2 linked regions of the Notamacropus eugenii genome follow. The protein of the gene in region 2 purifies or fractionates together with the protein of the main gene of each other region. This does not show direct contact. Links are inferred from orthologs where the notes say so. Each region holds a gene or a part of one and is shown on either strand. Other genes may lie near its edges.

What was found. The genes of interacting proteins can lie anywhere in the genome.
Region 1: the proteins of EXOSC8 (region 2) and DIS3L purify together in Homo sapiens (affinity purification with mass spectrometry; 4 studies listed by BioGRID and IntAct, counting the BioPlex papers as one, with this or other methods). This does not show direct contact. The link is inferred for Notamacropus eugenii from reciprocal best matches to the Homo sapiens genes EXOSC8 and DIS3L.

What each region holds. Positions count from the first base shown.
Region 1 is NC_092872.1:128,844,818-128,852,274, reverse strand, and holds the start of DIS3L (DIS3-like exonuclease 1), read right to left. Parts: upstream 3,004-7,457; 5' UTR 2,849-3,003; coding exon 2,710-2,848; intron 2,451-2,709; exon of another isoform or gene 2,387-2,450; intron 796-2,386; coding exon 642-795; intron 1-641. UniProt on the Homo sapiens protein: Catalytic component of the RNA exosome complex which has 3'->5' exoribonuclease activity and participates in a multitude of cellular RNA processing and degradation events.
Region 2 is NC_092876.1:98,499,213-98,506,348, reverse strand, and holds the start of EXOSC8 (exosome complex component RRP43), read right to left. Parts: upstream 3,004-7,136; 5' UTR 2,927-3,003; coding exon 2,910-2,926; intron 2,243-2,909; coding exon 2,206-2,242; intron 1,915-2,205; coding exon 1,821-1,914; intron 733-1,820; coding exon 659-732; intron 1-658. Other genes in the region: ALG5 (dolichyl-phosphate beta-glucosyltransferase), read left to right, coding at 4,065-4,130. UniProt on the Homo sapiens protein: Non-catalytic component of the RNA exosome complex which has 3'->5' exoribonuclease activity and participates in a multitude of cellular RNA processing and degradation events.

The DNA.
Region 1 (7,457 bases), on a different chromosome or scaffold from region 2:
AATACAATTATTGTGGATGGCAGCTATGGTGAGACTCTAGAACAAAACATGAGTTTATTTTAGGCCTCCTTCAGTAAATTATTAGATGGTATGATCTGTAAGCACTCGCAATGGAGAAGCATAGATTTTACAGCAAATACTGAACTTGTTTTCCTTCAATAAATTGCTGCAAGTTTCTGAAAGAATGGATATGTATATACACATACATGTACAGAGTTCTATGTATACATGTACGTATATATCAAGATTAACGTGCTAAAGACTCTAAAAAGAAATCACCAATCAGCTTTCTTCCACAAGAGAGAAAACAAAATAATGTGAAGGTTGAGCTGGTTGTAACCTTAAAACACCAACCTACTGGGATATGAGCTACGGAGCCAAACGAATATGCTTCGATCATGTGCTAAAACAAAAACCATAAAATAGAACAACTTCAAAAATGCCTTCCATAATCCCTTATTAAAGGAAGAAATAACAGATTATTTCCAAGTAAATTAAAAAAAAGTAAATAACAAATTAGTTCCAAAATTCCTTTTCCCTATTCCAAAATAATAGATTTCTTATCCTGCCCTTTCCCCTCCAGGACCTTTCTTATTTAATAAGTTCAAATCAGAAGTAAAAATTATGCAAAACAGATATACCTTCGTCCTCTTTGATGCTGTACAGCTTGACAGGCTGTTTGCATGAAAATAATACCTTTCAGCTCAGGAAACTCAAGAATCTCAAGGTAATCTTGAACAACTTTCCAGTCAGGGATAACATAATGAGTCACATCACTGGACAAAAGTTTCCCATCTGGAACATAATGCAAAATTTAAGAGATGAGACAACAGTTCCAAGGCTGCTTTATTACCATTGCCATGTCGCAGAGTCCCAGCGTACAAAATAACTTACAACCTTAACTACCTTGCATGGTTTTTAAAAGACAAGACAGATCTACTTTGGTAGAGGGCCAAAGACCAGGTAAACTTAGCAGCTTCATTTTTCTAAAGGTGGGATAAATAAAAGCATAACATGGTTTATTATGGTGCCAGAGCTGCACTGGGGGAAGTTGATGGATTTTCTGAAAAAAAAAACCACATTTTTAGGATTACTTAGATATTCTGGGTTAACTCATTACTGCCTAACAACTCATATCTGAAGACTGAGTGAAAAAGGCAATTTCCAGAGAATCATGTATTTCTAAATATAATTTCAAGCCAGGAGTTCTCCTTATGTTTCAGAGAGTAATGCTAGTCATCTATAACGCAGGTGTTAATTGAATAAACTATTATGGATGGCAATGAATGATACAATTTCCATCCAGCTCATGGGTCTACCCAACTTTGACCATTCATGTTCCACCAAGCCCTGAAGTTAAGGATTCCAAACAGGACTTCCGCAACCCACCTTCCACTAGAGGAATGATAATATGGGCTGGTTACTTAACACCTCTGGGCCTCAGTCTGGAGGTTCCTTCAACTCTAAAACCTATTATTAAACTCAGCAGTATGAACTGGAGGGTGGTCTTAAAGAAGACCCTGCAGAGCACACCAAAGGCCAAAGTTTTTTCAGGAAGAACTAACAGCAAGGGTTACCATGGCTTCTGCAAGTCTCCTGCCACCATGATGGTGGGTAAAGGTATGGATCCATGCACAGCATGAGGAAGGGGGCATCCAGGTGGCCATGGGACTTTTCCATTAGAATCCACCCTTTCGCCTGCTCTGGGAGACCCTGCCCCAGTCAGGAATGGTCCCTGAGCCTTTAGAAAGCAAGGGCACTTCTCCTATGGTCTCCAGCCCAGTCATCATTGGAGCCAGGCGGTTCCTAAGGGGGCGGACAACAGGCCATCGCCTTTCATAAGACTACAGGGTGCTAAGCTCCAAAACAAGAATCATCTTTAAGAACACGAATCTGGAACCCAAAGCAGATCAATCAACTTGAGATCAATCAATCAACAAGCTCTCATTAAGCCCTCACTGCGGGCCAGACACGGGAGGAGGGGGGGAGGACGACCTTCTAATGAGGCAGCAACGTGTACCTCCAGTCCCCAGTACAAGGCCGAGGGAAAGTGGGGGGCAGGACGGCCGGGAGGGGGAAGGGAGAGAGATAGAAGATGGGAATGAGCTCTACGAGCGGGGGTCCTAATCTTTTTGCGCCTCAGACTGATGTTTCTAGATATAATACGTTACATATAATATATACGTATAAAAAATATTTAAAAGTTACCCCCAAAGCCCCACCCCGTTTACGCTGAAATACAGGGCAAACTTTCTAGAGCGCGGTAAGCAGCAGAAACCCCCCACCTCCCCCGCTGCAGGGGCGCCGACCGCAGGCGCGCAGGCGCAGTGTGGCCATGCCTGCTTCCCGCCGCCCCCCACCCCGCCTCCAGAGGACGCCTCGTTACCCACAAACCGGGGTCTACGTTCCCATCGGAAGGCAGTCGGGGGAGGCCGCAGTTCGCAGGCCCGCCCAGGCCCAGGCTCTAGCCCCGCCCCCGGGGGGGAGGCGGGGACTCACGCCCAGTGTTTACCACCTAGCCCTGGCCGGGCGTAGGCCGCAGGGCCATCCCGCGTCCCCGCCGCCACGAGGAGGCGCAGACCCCGTCTGGACGCCTCGCCTCGGCCCTCCCTGCAGGGGGCGCCACAGCTGCGGGAGGGCCGGAAACCTCGGCCGCGTTTACGCCCCCGCCCCCGCCAGCTCCCTTCCTGCTCCCTCCCCGGCTCTGACCGTTACGGCAGCGGGCGGGCTGCGGGCACAGCGGGCTGTTGCAGGGCACGCTGGGCCGCAGGTAGTGCTCCCTCACGATGCGCACAGTGCGGCCCTGGAACGTCCTCAGGTGCAGCACCTTCTCCCGCTTCTGCAGCATGGCGGCGGCAAAGGCCCGGCAGCGGGAAGAGGCGAGGCCCCGGCGTGGAGCCCGCCCCCTTCCGTCCTCTGGAGGCCGGGCCCTGAGCGCGGCGGGGCGCCTCCCCCCGGCCCGAGGCCGGAGCTGCCTCTGGGGCTGCTGCAGCTGCCGGGGCCGCCCCGCTGCGGGGCCCAACGGCCGCCCCCTCCTCGATCTCGGGGCCTCGCGGAGAAACTCCCTCCGTGCGGAGTCGGGGTCCGAGTCAGAGCTCTGTCACTGGCCGACCCCGAGGGAGCTCCGTGCCTCAGTTTACCCTCCCTGCAGTGAGAGAGAGGGTGTGTGTGTGCGCGCTCGGAGGGCAGGGCGAGAAAACTCTACCCATGCCTGAAGAAGAGATTATGGAAACAAAGGAGGGGAGGAGAAAATACATGAAAGACTCCCACTTCTTGGGAAAGCAGGTTAATTACTGTGGCTGTTAATTACCACAGCTGTTTCCTTTCCACTTGAAGTCAGGCAGCAAACATGTATTAAGCACCAGCTGTGTACCAGGCACTGCGCTAAGCCCTGGAGAAGCAAAGACAAAAACAATCCCTTCCCTAAAGGAGCCCCCATTCTAATGGGGGGGACCAGGTTAGAAGAGCTACGTACACGCAGATGTATGTGTGTGTGTGTCCGTATAGTCTGTTCTCCGTATAAACATATACATGTGTGTATATATGTACAGCCTGCCTTCTCCATACATACACATATATAGACTATCTATATACACACACTTGCGGAGATCATGAAAGACTTCTGGCAGAAGGTGATACTGTAGCAGAGACTTGGAAAGAAGCCAGGGGTGGGAGTTCAGAACGTTCCAGGCTTGGGAGACAGAGGGGATGGAGTTTCTCGTGTCTGTAACTTTGTAGCTAGGATCTGCAAAGAATACACCGTAGGACTCTAAGGGACACCTTACCTGAAACCTCCCATCACCACGAATCTAAACTGAGCTTTGTCACTAGGCAACTGGGGAAGATCCTTCCCTCATTGTGCTTGGAATAACGGAAGGGCTGCTCAGTGGTGCCCTGTTTGTGAAAAAGGGTGCATAGTAAGGTAGCATGTGTGCCTATGCACCTACTTTGTCCTAGCGCAAGATGTTTACATGTGAGGGTGATACTACATTAATTTTTAAAAAGACCTTAAGGGTTTGGAGCTTAGATGATGTGCTTGGTAGTATTTCATCATCAGTGGATTCCATTCATTTATTGATTCAACAAACATTTATTAAAATCTTACTATATGTAGAATTCTTTCAGGCATGGAGTTGATCGAAATTTCAGATAAGACAGTCTTTGGATGGCTGTGAAGACCAAATGAGATAATATACACCATATAGCAAACTTTAAAGAACTATATGAATACTAGCTATTATTATAATTCCTCTAATTTCTAGTGGCCTCCAAAATAAATGCAACTTTGTATTTATTTTGAATTCTGTTCATACTTATTCTGTAAGTAAAAAGGTACACATACATATATAATATATATATGCACACTATATATATACAACATATATGCACACACATTTTGTTTCTCTGATATACAGGGATTATTTATTTATTTGTGTTTGTATCCACAGCACTTAGTATAGTACTTTTGTAGGTGTGTAATAATTTCTTGTTGATTGATTAACAAAATCATTGGAGTTTCCTTGTACCTGAAATCACTAAGTCAAGTCAATAGGCATTTTATTAAACACTAGGCATACGAGGAGAGGCAAAAATGAATAAAAAGACAAGACAAAACCTAACAAAATAATTTGTAGTATTATATGTAGTTTTATGCTTCTTTATGTTTCATCATCTTTTTTTGGTGATAGAACATAGTACAAAATACTTTGTTCATGATTTTAGGTAAAGAGAAACGACTTCATTAATTTTAAGTACTTCTTAAGCATCTGTGCATTCATTGCACCAATAAGCACTATGCAGAGTATGTTAAAGGAAAATCCCTGCTTTCTAAGAATTTACAATCTAAAATGGAAAATATTGCCCTTTCTTTTTTTTTCTCAAAGATTGCCCAATGCTTTTCTTAAAATAAACTACCCTGTTGTCTCTGCTCCCTTAGTTTCAGACTGGTCTGTCTGTATAGTCAGCATTTCATGCCTTTATGTCTGCTTAAAGCTGAACCACAAGGTGTCTTTTGTTGTCCCAGCTTATAATCACCTTCACTTCAGTTCACTCTCAAGCAGCATTTTAGCACAAGTTCCAGTCTTGTTGTATGTTAAATATAGTTTACATATTATTAATCTACTCAAGAAACCAATTTTGAATTCTGTGATAGATCTAAGTTCTATAGTCCTGTAGAGGTTGGACATGTTTGCCACTCTGCACATTTTTAGTCTGATCCGTAGCATGGCGCCATGTCAATACATGATCTGTCTGCCCCTACAAAAGACATACTGGCTGGTCATCTTGATTCAATTTTCAGTTTTTGACTTCATTGTCAGTTAGTGTATCGTTGGACAGCGTGATGCCAGGATAGCAAATTCAGTGACAGCTTTTCACTCCATATTGCTGATGAAAATAATTGACTAGGAATGGGTTCTCCTGGTGCATGACTTGCTTCTTCTTCAGGCTTAGCATCAGTGTGCTTATTCTGCAAAGAGTTGTTAATCATTTGCATGCTTACTTGCATGTGTTTCAAGAGTGCAGCCATCAGCAAACAACAACTTCTGAATTTCTACTGATGAAGGGTGATACCATGAGTGGTGACCAGATGTGCAGTTTTTCAAAGGGTAGGCATAGAACTTATTGCTCCTGAGGGACTTAGGTTTATTTACATTAAATTTGCCATCTTCATGGGATACCAGAATTGACAATCTTTAACTCACAATTTCTTGTATCCTTGTATTATATATTTCTTGTATTCTTGATTGTAAATCAATTAATAGTAGATGGTAGAACGTTCCAGCCCTCAGTAACCCTTTGCATAGCTGAAGACTGCTAAACCATTTTGACTGGATCTCTGGGTATCCTCATTTAGCTCAGCCCTTGGCAATTCCACTCTTCTATCTTGATTCTAAGAAAGGAATCTGTGGGAGGAAAAGAGTTAGGCTTCCAAGTATGGCAGCTTCTTTTAGAATGGAGATTCTTATTATTTTTTTGAGTGTTTCATGGATCCCTTTGGTAGTCAAATAAACATATTCACCCCTTCTCAGAATAATGGTTTTAAACACATAAAATAAAATAGAGAACTATAAAGGAAACTATTGAAATACAGTTATAAGATTTTCTTTTCAATTCACATAAATCCTATGTTAAGAACCCCTGTTTGGGAACCTGCTGGGCCAAATATCACTGATGCACATTTGGAAAAACACTTTTCTCAGGTGGTACCAATGCTTGAATGGGTTATTGAAGAAGCTTGTGGAATTTTCTCGAAAATTTTTCAAAGTTGATGATATGCCCAAGCCAAAGATATTTTGAACAGGTAGCCAAGGGTATAGAGGCACAAAAGAAGGGAGGCATGAAAATATTATCTTTGTAAGAAGTCCAGCAGCAGGATGTTGTAAGTACTGATAATTAAGACCTACAGAATTCAAGTAAGGGTTCTATAGCACACACTATATGGCTGCTCTAACTTTCTTGGGCCTCAGTTACTCTAGCTAGTGTTTCAGAATTTGTTGGGTATTACCACCAACTAGTCAGTGACTAAATGCCATGTAAATAGCTAAAATAACCAAATTTATCCGAAAACAAGGTTATTTTCATTTGTGTCCCAACTCAGTAGAAAATTCGCTTAAAGAGAAATGGTTGCCAAGATGACTCTGTTGTATTAAGGGTAATTTAATTTCATATACATTAAAAGATGTTAATCCTTGATTTTCACTTTTTGTTACAGATATAATAATTCCCTTTTTGCTTTCTGAAAGCACTATGAATCCCCGTAATCCACTTTGCAGTGATTACCATAAAATGTTCTGCTTAAGAGGGTTTTTTTTTGGGGGGGGGGCGGGTATGTTAAAAGAGAAAAAGAATTATTTTCTGTGTGTAAATTGTGTATCTCAGCAGGATTTTTATTGTGCGGTTTACTTTTTTCTTTCTATAACGTAATTTCTTTCTACACCACTAAGGGATGCTATTTCATTTTTTTTAAGGTTATATTGCTAACTCTCCTACTGCCTCATGTGGAGAAGGCATTCAGGCTTGTAGGTTATTCCTATCAAAATGCTTTCAGTTGTTTTTTGTTTTTTTTTTTTCAGAAACCTTTCATATTTTGACTGGGACTTTTGACAAGAAGCTCAGAAGAATTGCTGCTTCAAAATTAATGAGAACTAAACTTCATTCATTGAATTTAAGGAAAATGGTGAGAGGGGTGGGGTCTTATGCTCTTGAAACATGTTACCATGCAGGGAAAATGCAGTTGTGTGATTAGCCACTGAAAATTATTTAAAATATGAGCATCTCTATTTTTTACTTACATTTTCTGTTCTGGTGTTATTTGACAGAATTAAGTTTTCATTTGTCAGTCTTATGACATGGTCACTATGCATAGTTAAATTTAATTTGATGATTATACTGCACAGAATTTCTTAACTCATTTTAGTTTTTTATAACTGAATATAGCTGTCTGGAAACCTGCATTC
Region 2 (7,136 bases):
ATTAACACACTACTATGTAAACTATTTTATTTTGACTAGCTTAGGTTTTCCATTATGTTCCATACAAAGTAAATGCCTGAAAATAAAATATTTTTTATGATTTCATGTTACCAACAGGCTTATCCTAGGAATCTTAGTTTCTCAAATAATTTTTAAAATCTGAAAAATTAAAAATGAATTCCAATTTTGATGCATCCAAAGAATAATCATATCACAATTCGTGTGTCATTACTGAACTTTTGTTTCTCTGGCCTGTGTTACAACCATTATTAATCCTTAAATTGCTCTTTGGAAATAAAAATAAGAGCCTGATAAAAATGCTACTGGATTTTCCAGTCTACTGCAGTGTTAGAGACATTCATTATCATCTAAATAAGAGAAATGAGAAGCCTCATGGCAAAAGGATAATGAGCTTCCCTGGTAGTAAGGAAAACCTAGGTTTAAGTCCAGCATCTGACACATCCTCTATGTCATGCTGGCCACTACGTAACCTGTCAGTGTCCCAGGTAAGTCTCCAAGACTCCATCTGTATTAGTAGAGAGAGTATCCTCACCAGGAGCTCCCTACACTGGTGAAATCAAAGGTCTGGTTAAAAAAAAATGATCAGTGAAACTAATCTGGTAACTTTTTTAGATGATTAAATGAAAAAGAGACCTACCGCTTTAACTCCACAAATTACTGTTGTATTTCCCAACTTCACTAAAGCAGAACCATCTGCAGTAGTAATTGAACCTGATATTTAACAGATTAAAAAACTTATTAGAAAAAAAATTTCAAAAGTCATCTTACCAGTAATTATTACCAGGTTTAACAGTTTTGTCCATTTGATTAAAAACTCATCATGGCTTTACGTGTATTTGGAGGTTCTGGTCAAGTCAGTGAAATTTTGCTTCTAGTTTGCCTCATCAGTCAGCGGACAAAATCTAATTCTATCTAAAGTCAAGTCCAATTCAACAAACATTTATACTGTGCCAGGTGCTGGAATATAAAGACAAAACCCAAACAATTCCTGTCCTTGAGAGACCTGTATTCTTTGAGGGGGTACAACTAGTATACTGATAAGTACAATAAGAGGAAATTTGAGTAGAAGGAGTATCAGAAAGGATGTACAGAAGGCAGCACCTGAGAAGAGCTGAGATAAGGAAGGAATGCATTCCTAGCAGGAGAAGCAACACACAAAAAACACAGAGATAGAATGTAGAGATTGAGGAACAACTAGTAGGCCAGTTTGGCTGGACTATGAAATTGTGTAAAGGTCAATAATATGAAAGAAGACTGGAACAGTAAAGAGAGTCAAGACTAAAGGGCTTTAAGTGCCATGATGAAGAGTCTGCATTTATACCAGAGGCAACAGGGAGCCACCAAACGTTTCTGAACAAAGAAGTGCCAAGTTTATTACAGATAAATGATATACTTACACAGATTAACACAATCAAGTGATTATCCTAAAGTAAATTTCATTACAAAATGTTTTGAATCCTTTGCTTTATTAGATTTGATTGCTGCATATTGCTGGAAACAAACTGGGACTTACTAATATTCCATATAGAAATTTTTATTGTAGCTACATTTGTTAAAATAAGATTTGGTTTATTATTCATAAGAGAACCATGATTCCAATTTATTCCATTACTCCATCTAGCTTTTCATAAATGACTCATATACTTAAGCCTGTGTCAACAATTTATGACACGCATACAGGAACAAAATCTTTTGGTTAAAAAAAAAAGCATTTCCAAAAAAAAAAACCACCAGAAGAATTTATCAGCAGTACAGAACAAGCGCTACATAGAAAGTTGGTTTGGTGTTGGAGCACTTACGTTTCTTTTCAGGACGCTGAATATTCTTACCTATATTGACAGTAGTGGTCCTGAACTCCCCCAGCTCCCTTCCATCTGGACGGCAGTTCTCTTTCTAAATAAACAAACACGATTCCCATATACTTTCCTTAATCATACCGCAGGCATATCATTCCCTCATTCATGCTTCTCCATCATGTCGTGTGAACCCCGCAAAGGCCTCCCTGAAATCTCATGTGAACTTTACAGTGACGTAACAAGGTGCTCTACCGTTAAGCCCGGATGACCTTGGCCAGGCACTTGACCTAGGCCTCAGTTTCCTCATCTGAAAAACGGGGGGACTGAACTAGATGACCGGCCTCCTCCACTTCCAAAGTTCTAGATGTACCCCGTTGCTTTTACTTACCAAAAATCTCCTATAATACTCCAGTGGTTCGACTGTTCTGAAATGATTGAAAATACAATTTATTTTTAAAGATTCACAAGCACACTAAAGCCAACACTGTGTTTCAAATTCTCTTTCTGACGTTGTAACAAAAGGTGTCTAAATCTGTGGATCCCTCACATGGATTCACGCTACGTCCTTAGCGTCACAAAATGCTCTTGGCTCGCACGGGGTCCTCCCGGCGCCAGCTTGGCTTCTTTAAACGTCTAGTTTTATTTAGGGCTGGGCTTTTTAACTGTGGCAAAGACGCGGCTCGGGTCAGCCTCTGTGCGCAGACCACGCGGCCGGCCCATCGGGGATCCGACGGCAACGAGCACGGAGGCTCCGGAAAGAAAGCGCGGTCTGGACCCGCCTGGAGCTTCCTGCCCCCCGCGCAGCCCGCCCCGGCCCGGGCACTGGGAGACTGGCCCGCCTCCCCTCAGGTCAGAGGCGCAGAGGTTACCCTGCGCAGCCGAGGGCCCTGAAACCCGACCGGCTCCCCGACGTGCCACTCGGGGGAGTGGAAGCGGGGCCCACGGGCCGGGGATCCCAGGGCGCAGAAGGCCCAGCCCGGCCCGCTCGGGCAGGCCGCGGGGCTCGGCTCTCCTTCTGAGGCCGCAGACGCCCCCGGCGTCTTTCCCTCGCTCCCCGCACCCCTCCCGGCGGAGTCCCCCGGGGAGACTCACTTGAATCCAGCCGCCATGTTCTACGCGTCCCACGTGTTTCCCGGCGGCGGGAGCCCGCCCTCCTCCGCCGCCGGCGCCCGCTCCGCCTCCGCACATTCGACACGAAACCCGGCCGCTCTGCCTGCGCTGGGACGGAGACGGTTCGGGAGGCGACCACGACCAGCTCCTGGCTTGGTGGCCTGACCCTGAGCGAAGCGGTAGCATCTCTCGTGTTTTCCTTTGATTTCGAATTTTAGCGAATCTCCATTTGGGGAAGTGAAGAACACGGCTCGGGGACGTCCGGTTACGGGGCATCTCCCGGCGCTGCCCCTTCGGGGTTCGTGGGGAGCGGTGCGCTCCGGGCCGTGCTTTGCCCGGACGCCCAGCGCGGGCACCGCGGGCAAGTTTTGAACACGTGTTTCCTAAAGTTTGCAGACGACAGATGGGGGGCCCGCTGCAGCCGTCCGTCTGGCCACGTCACCCTGCGCGGCTGCCCCCCAAGTTCCTCCCCTTCTTTCGAGGAAGACGGGGAAGCTTTCTTCACCCAGACGTGTGTCGCGCGCGAGCACGGGAGAGAGTGGCCTGCCAGCACCGAGGGGGCACCTGCCGCCCACGGGGTGACTGCGAGCACCGGCACGGTTTTGGTTTTCTTGTTTTTACAGGTAATCCATTATACACTGTATAAAAGCACCACTTAATATACTCAATTCCTTGGGAGATGGACCAAAATATCCATCTCTCGGAGATATCGCCCCGGGGAGTGAGACGAAGTACGGCCGGGACTGGCTTTAGGCTCCTGGAGCCAGGTCTGACCGAAAAATGGGACGATCCCTTTTCCCTCCAGGAACTTAGTATCTTAAAAAAGAGCCAACAAATCCAAGCCCAGGAGGAGCTCTGAGCTAAGACCATCTAGGACCGGAAACGCTGATGGTGGGCGGGGCAAGAGGCTCGGACTGCCCATGCGCGGTGGGAGCCAGCCTGTCAAAGCGAGGCACATTGCCGACAGGCGGCGCTGTGGGAGCGGGTCGGGAAGCGGGTCTAGGCCAGGCGTCTCTCCCGACGCTGGAGGCGGGGCGCGGCTGCGGGCCGTAGCGGCCGAACTGTCGGCGCTTCCGCTTAGGTGTAGGTGCGGGATAGGGCCAGATCCAGCGAAGCTGCGGGCCCTGGGGATGGAGGATGGTGCCCTTCGTGGAGCAGCCGGCGGTGCTCTTCTTGGTGTTGGTGCCCACGGTGCTGATCCTGGTGAGGAGGGGGAGGGATCCAGGACTCCGGCCCGGCGGGCCCGCCTTCCCCGAGGACGATTCCCCTCCCGGGCTCCAGGCCCTGGCAGCCCTGCCCAGGATCTCCGACCCAAACCCCTGTCTCCAGCCCTCTCAGCCTTGCGAGCAACCCCACTCTCTAGTCCTCACCCTTGGCCCTAGACTTAGAACTGGAAGGGACCATTTTACAGATGGGGAAACTGAGGCCTGGCGAGAAAGTCACTTCAGACTCAAAGTCATTAATTTTCAGACGCAACTTCTCTGCCTCCAAATCGGTGCCCTTTAGACCCCACCTTCCTGCCTCTCTTCTCTCCAGACTAATTAGCACACCCTCTGTTCTGGATCCTGTGACCCTGAGATGTTTCCTCTTCATTTCTTGGGCCGCATGCTCCAGTCTTTGTCCGCATTGCCTAGGAAAAGTGATGGCAGGACAGTGCCAGAAGTAGCTCCTTAGTAATAACTGAAGGGGAGATGAATAAGTCAATGAACGAATGAACGTAAGAAAAAGCTCTCCTGTGCTAGGTAATGTGCTAAGAGGAATGAATGAATGAATGTGTGAATAAATGAAGATAATCCCAATTGGAAGAAAGAAGAGGTAGGGGTGCATTTAGACTATCCCATATGTTTAGAAGGAAGGAGAGAAAAATGAGTTTTAATTTGGACATGCGGAGTTTGGTATCCCCTTATAAAGACCCCCGATCTCATTGTTATAAACTGTTATAAGGAGTTTATTCTTGTACTTTCCACTCTGGTAGAATAGATACTTCTAATAAATTATGAATAATTTTAAAAGGAAATTTTGGCTAATGTCTGTAATAGATGGTACTGAAATGAATCTTTCTAAAGAGTAATACTCTAGGCAGTGTGTTTAGTAAATGCTGAGTCCATTTAGTAAATGCACTTCTCAGTTCTCCACTTCCAGTGTAACTGGAAAAGGTCCTCACTAGATGAAGCAATGTACATAATTATTATCTCAGTATCTTGGGACTTGTATCTGGGTAAGAGATGAATTCTAACAGATCATTTTGTCAAATTGGGCAGTATTAATTTTTTTCCGGTAACTTAAAAGGCATACCTGTTTGGAGCTATGAAGAATCCAGCATTTGCCCCACTCCTCAAATTGAAGTCATCACACATTGAAGAATTATCAACAACATTTATTTATGAAACATCTTATGTACTATGTATGCTATGTCCTAAGAAAACACAGAGGGAGAAAATCATCTTTAATAATCTGCAATAGAAAAGCCAAGGTATTGCCTCAGCTACTGACATCTAGGGAAACACTACTTTTTCCTTCCTCAGTTCTTGCTAGACCTGTTACTTCTGAGAAAGGGACATAGGAAAACATTAAAGGAGCAGAGATTGGTTACAGAAGAGGAGGGATCTGTCTTCCCTTTCTCCTGCTGCTAGGGATCCTCCTGTTGGTGGCTGAGAAAAGCAGGTGGACCCAGGAGAAGGCAAGGGAGTAGGACTGCTAGTCTTGGGGGAGATGATACGGCAGATACCTGTGAGCACACGCACACTGGACTGGTCCAGACTAGATGCCCCAGAAGCATGTTAATCTTGATAGGTCTAAAACTGAACTCGATATCCTTCCTCATAAAGATTTCTTTCTTCCAGTCTTCCTTATTTAGGTTAAAGGTTCCATCCTTGTGGTTTCTCAGCTTCATAATCTTGGCATTATACTTTCCCCTTACTTGCCTTGACCCCACAAATATCCAGTCACTTGCCAAACTTGCCTTTTCTGCCTTTACAACATATCTCACATCTGACTCCTTCACTCACACAGCCATCACCTTCAGTTTTCCCTAGATATCTTCTCATGTTGCTTCTATGTTGTGCTGTGCACCAAAACCTAGCTCTCTCTGTAAGATGCTGGATTTTCTGACTTTTTTTCCAAATCTGGCTACTTATATGTCACAACCCCAAACATACAAGACCAGGAGGAAGAATTGGCATATTTCTTGCTCCCTAGTATTCTCTCTGCCACTGTCACTCAACAGCCAACTCTTTTTCCTTTAAGGCTCATTGTGTTATCCTTATGACTGAAATCTCTGGAACTCCAAGACATTCTTTCTTCTCCCTAATAAGTTCAGTGCCTGGCTTATAGACCTCTTCATCCCAGCCTAGCCTCACATGACTTCCCAGTTCTTCTGATTCAGCTCCCATGATCTGTCTCCGGCTTACTTCAGCGATACACAGGAGTGTTCATACTTTAGCTTAATTTACTCCAGTTCAAGAATCTCTAATTATGGCTTTCCTATCAAGGAGCTTATATTCAATTGGAAACTTACATTCAGTCCATATAATGAGTTGTGTGAATTAAAGTGGATAAACTTTAAAGCTGTACAAACAGTATTTTACATTTGGGCCATTATTTCTTGATCAAATGAATCTAGACAAAGATAATTAATTGATTCAGCAAAACAACTGTTCTGTGTATATCATCATGGTAGGTGCTGGGGTTGTGGTCTAAAAGCTCAGTCATGGATCACTGGTTACCAGAGAAACAAGGCAGCAGCATACACAGTGGAAAGACCATCTGGGTTCAGATTTCACTTTTGATACTTGGCAAGTCACTTAGCATCCTTAGGCTTCAGGAACTTAGACTAAATGGTCTAGGTACCACTAGATGGAAGTGGAGGTGAGACTACATTCCAGACTGTGAGGGGATATTGTGTACAAAGACATGGAGATGGAATTGGAATGTTATGTATGAGGAGCAGCTAGTAGGCCAGTTTTGCTACATAGTACAGTACATAAGTAGAAATTATATGAGGAAATATAGTCTGAAGTCAAATGAATGGCATTAAATGCTAAGCTGAGGAGTTTACATTTTAATCTAAGGCAATAAATAACTATTGAAGAATCTTGAGTAGGAAAGTGATACAGTCAGATCTGTGTTTTAGGAACATTATTTTGGAAATAAATGTGGAGGGTGAATTGAATAAGAGAAAGACAGAAACCAGGAATTCCAGTTAGGAAG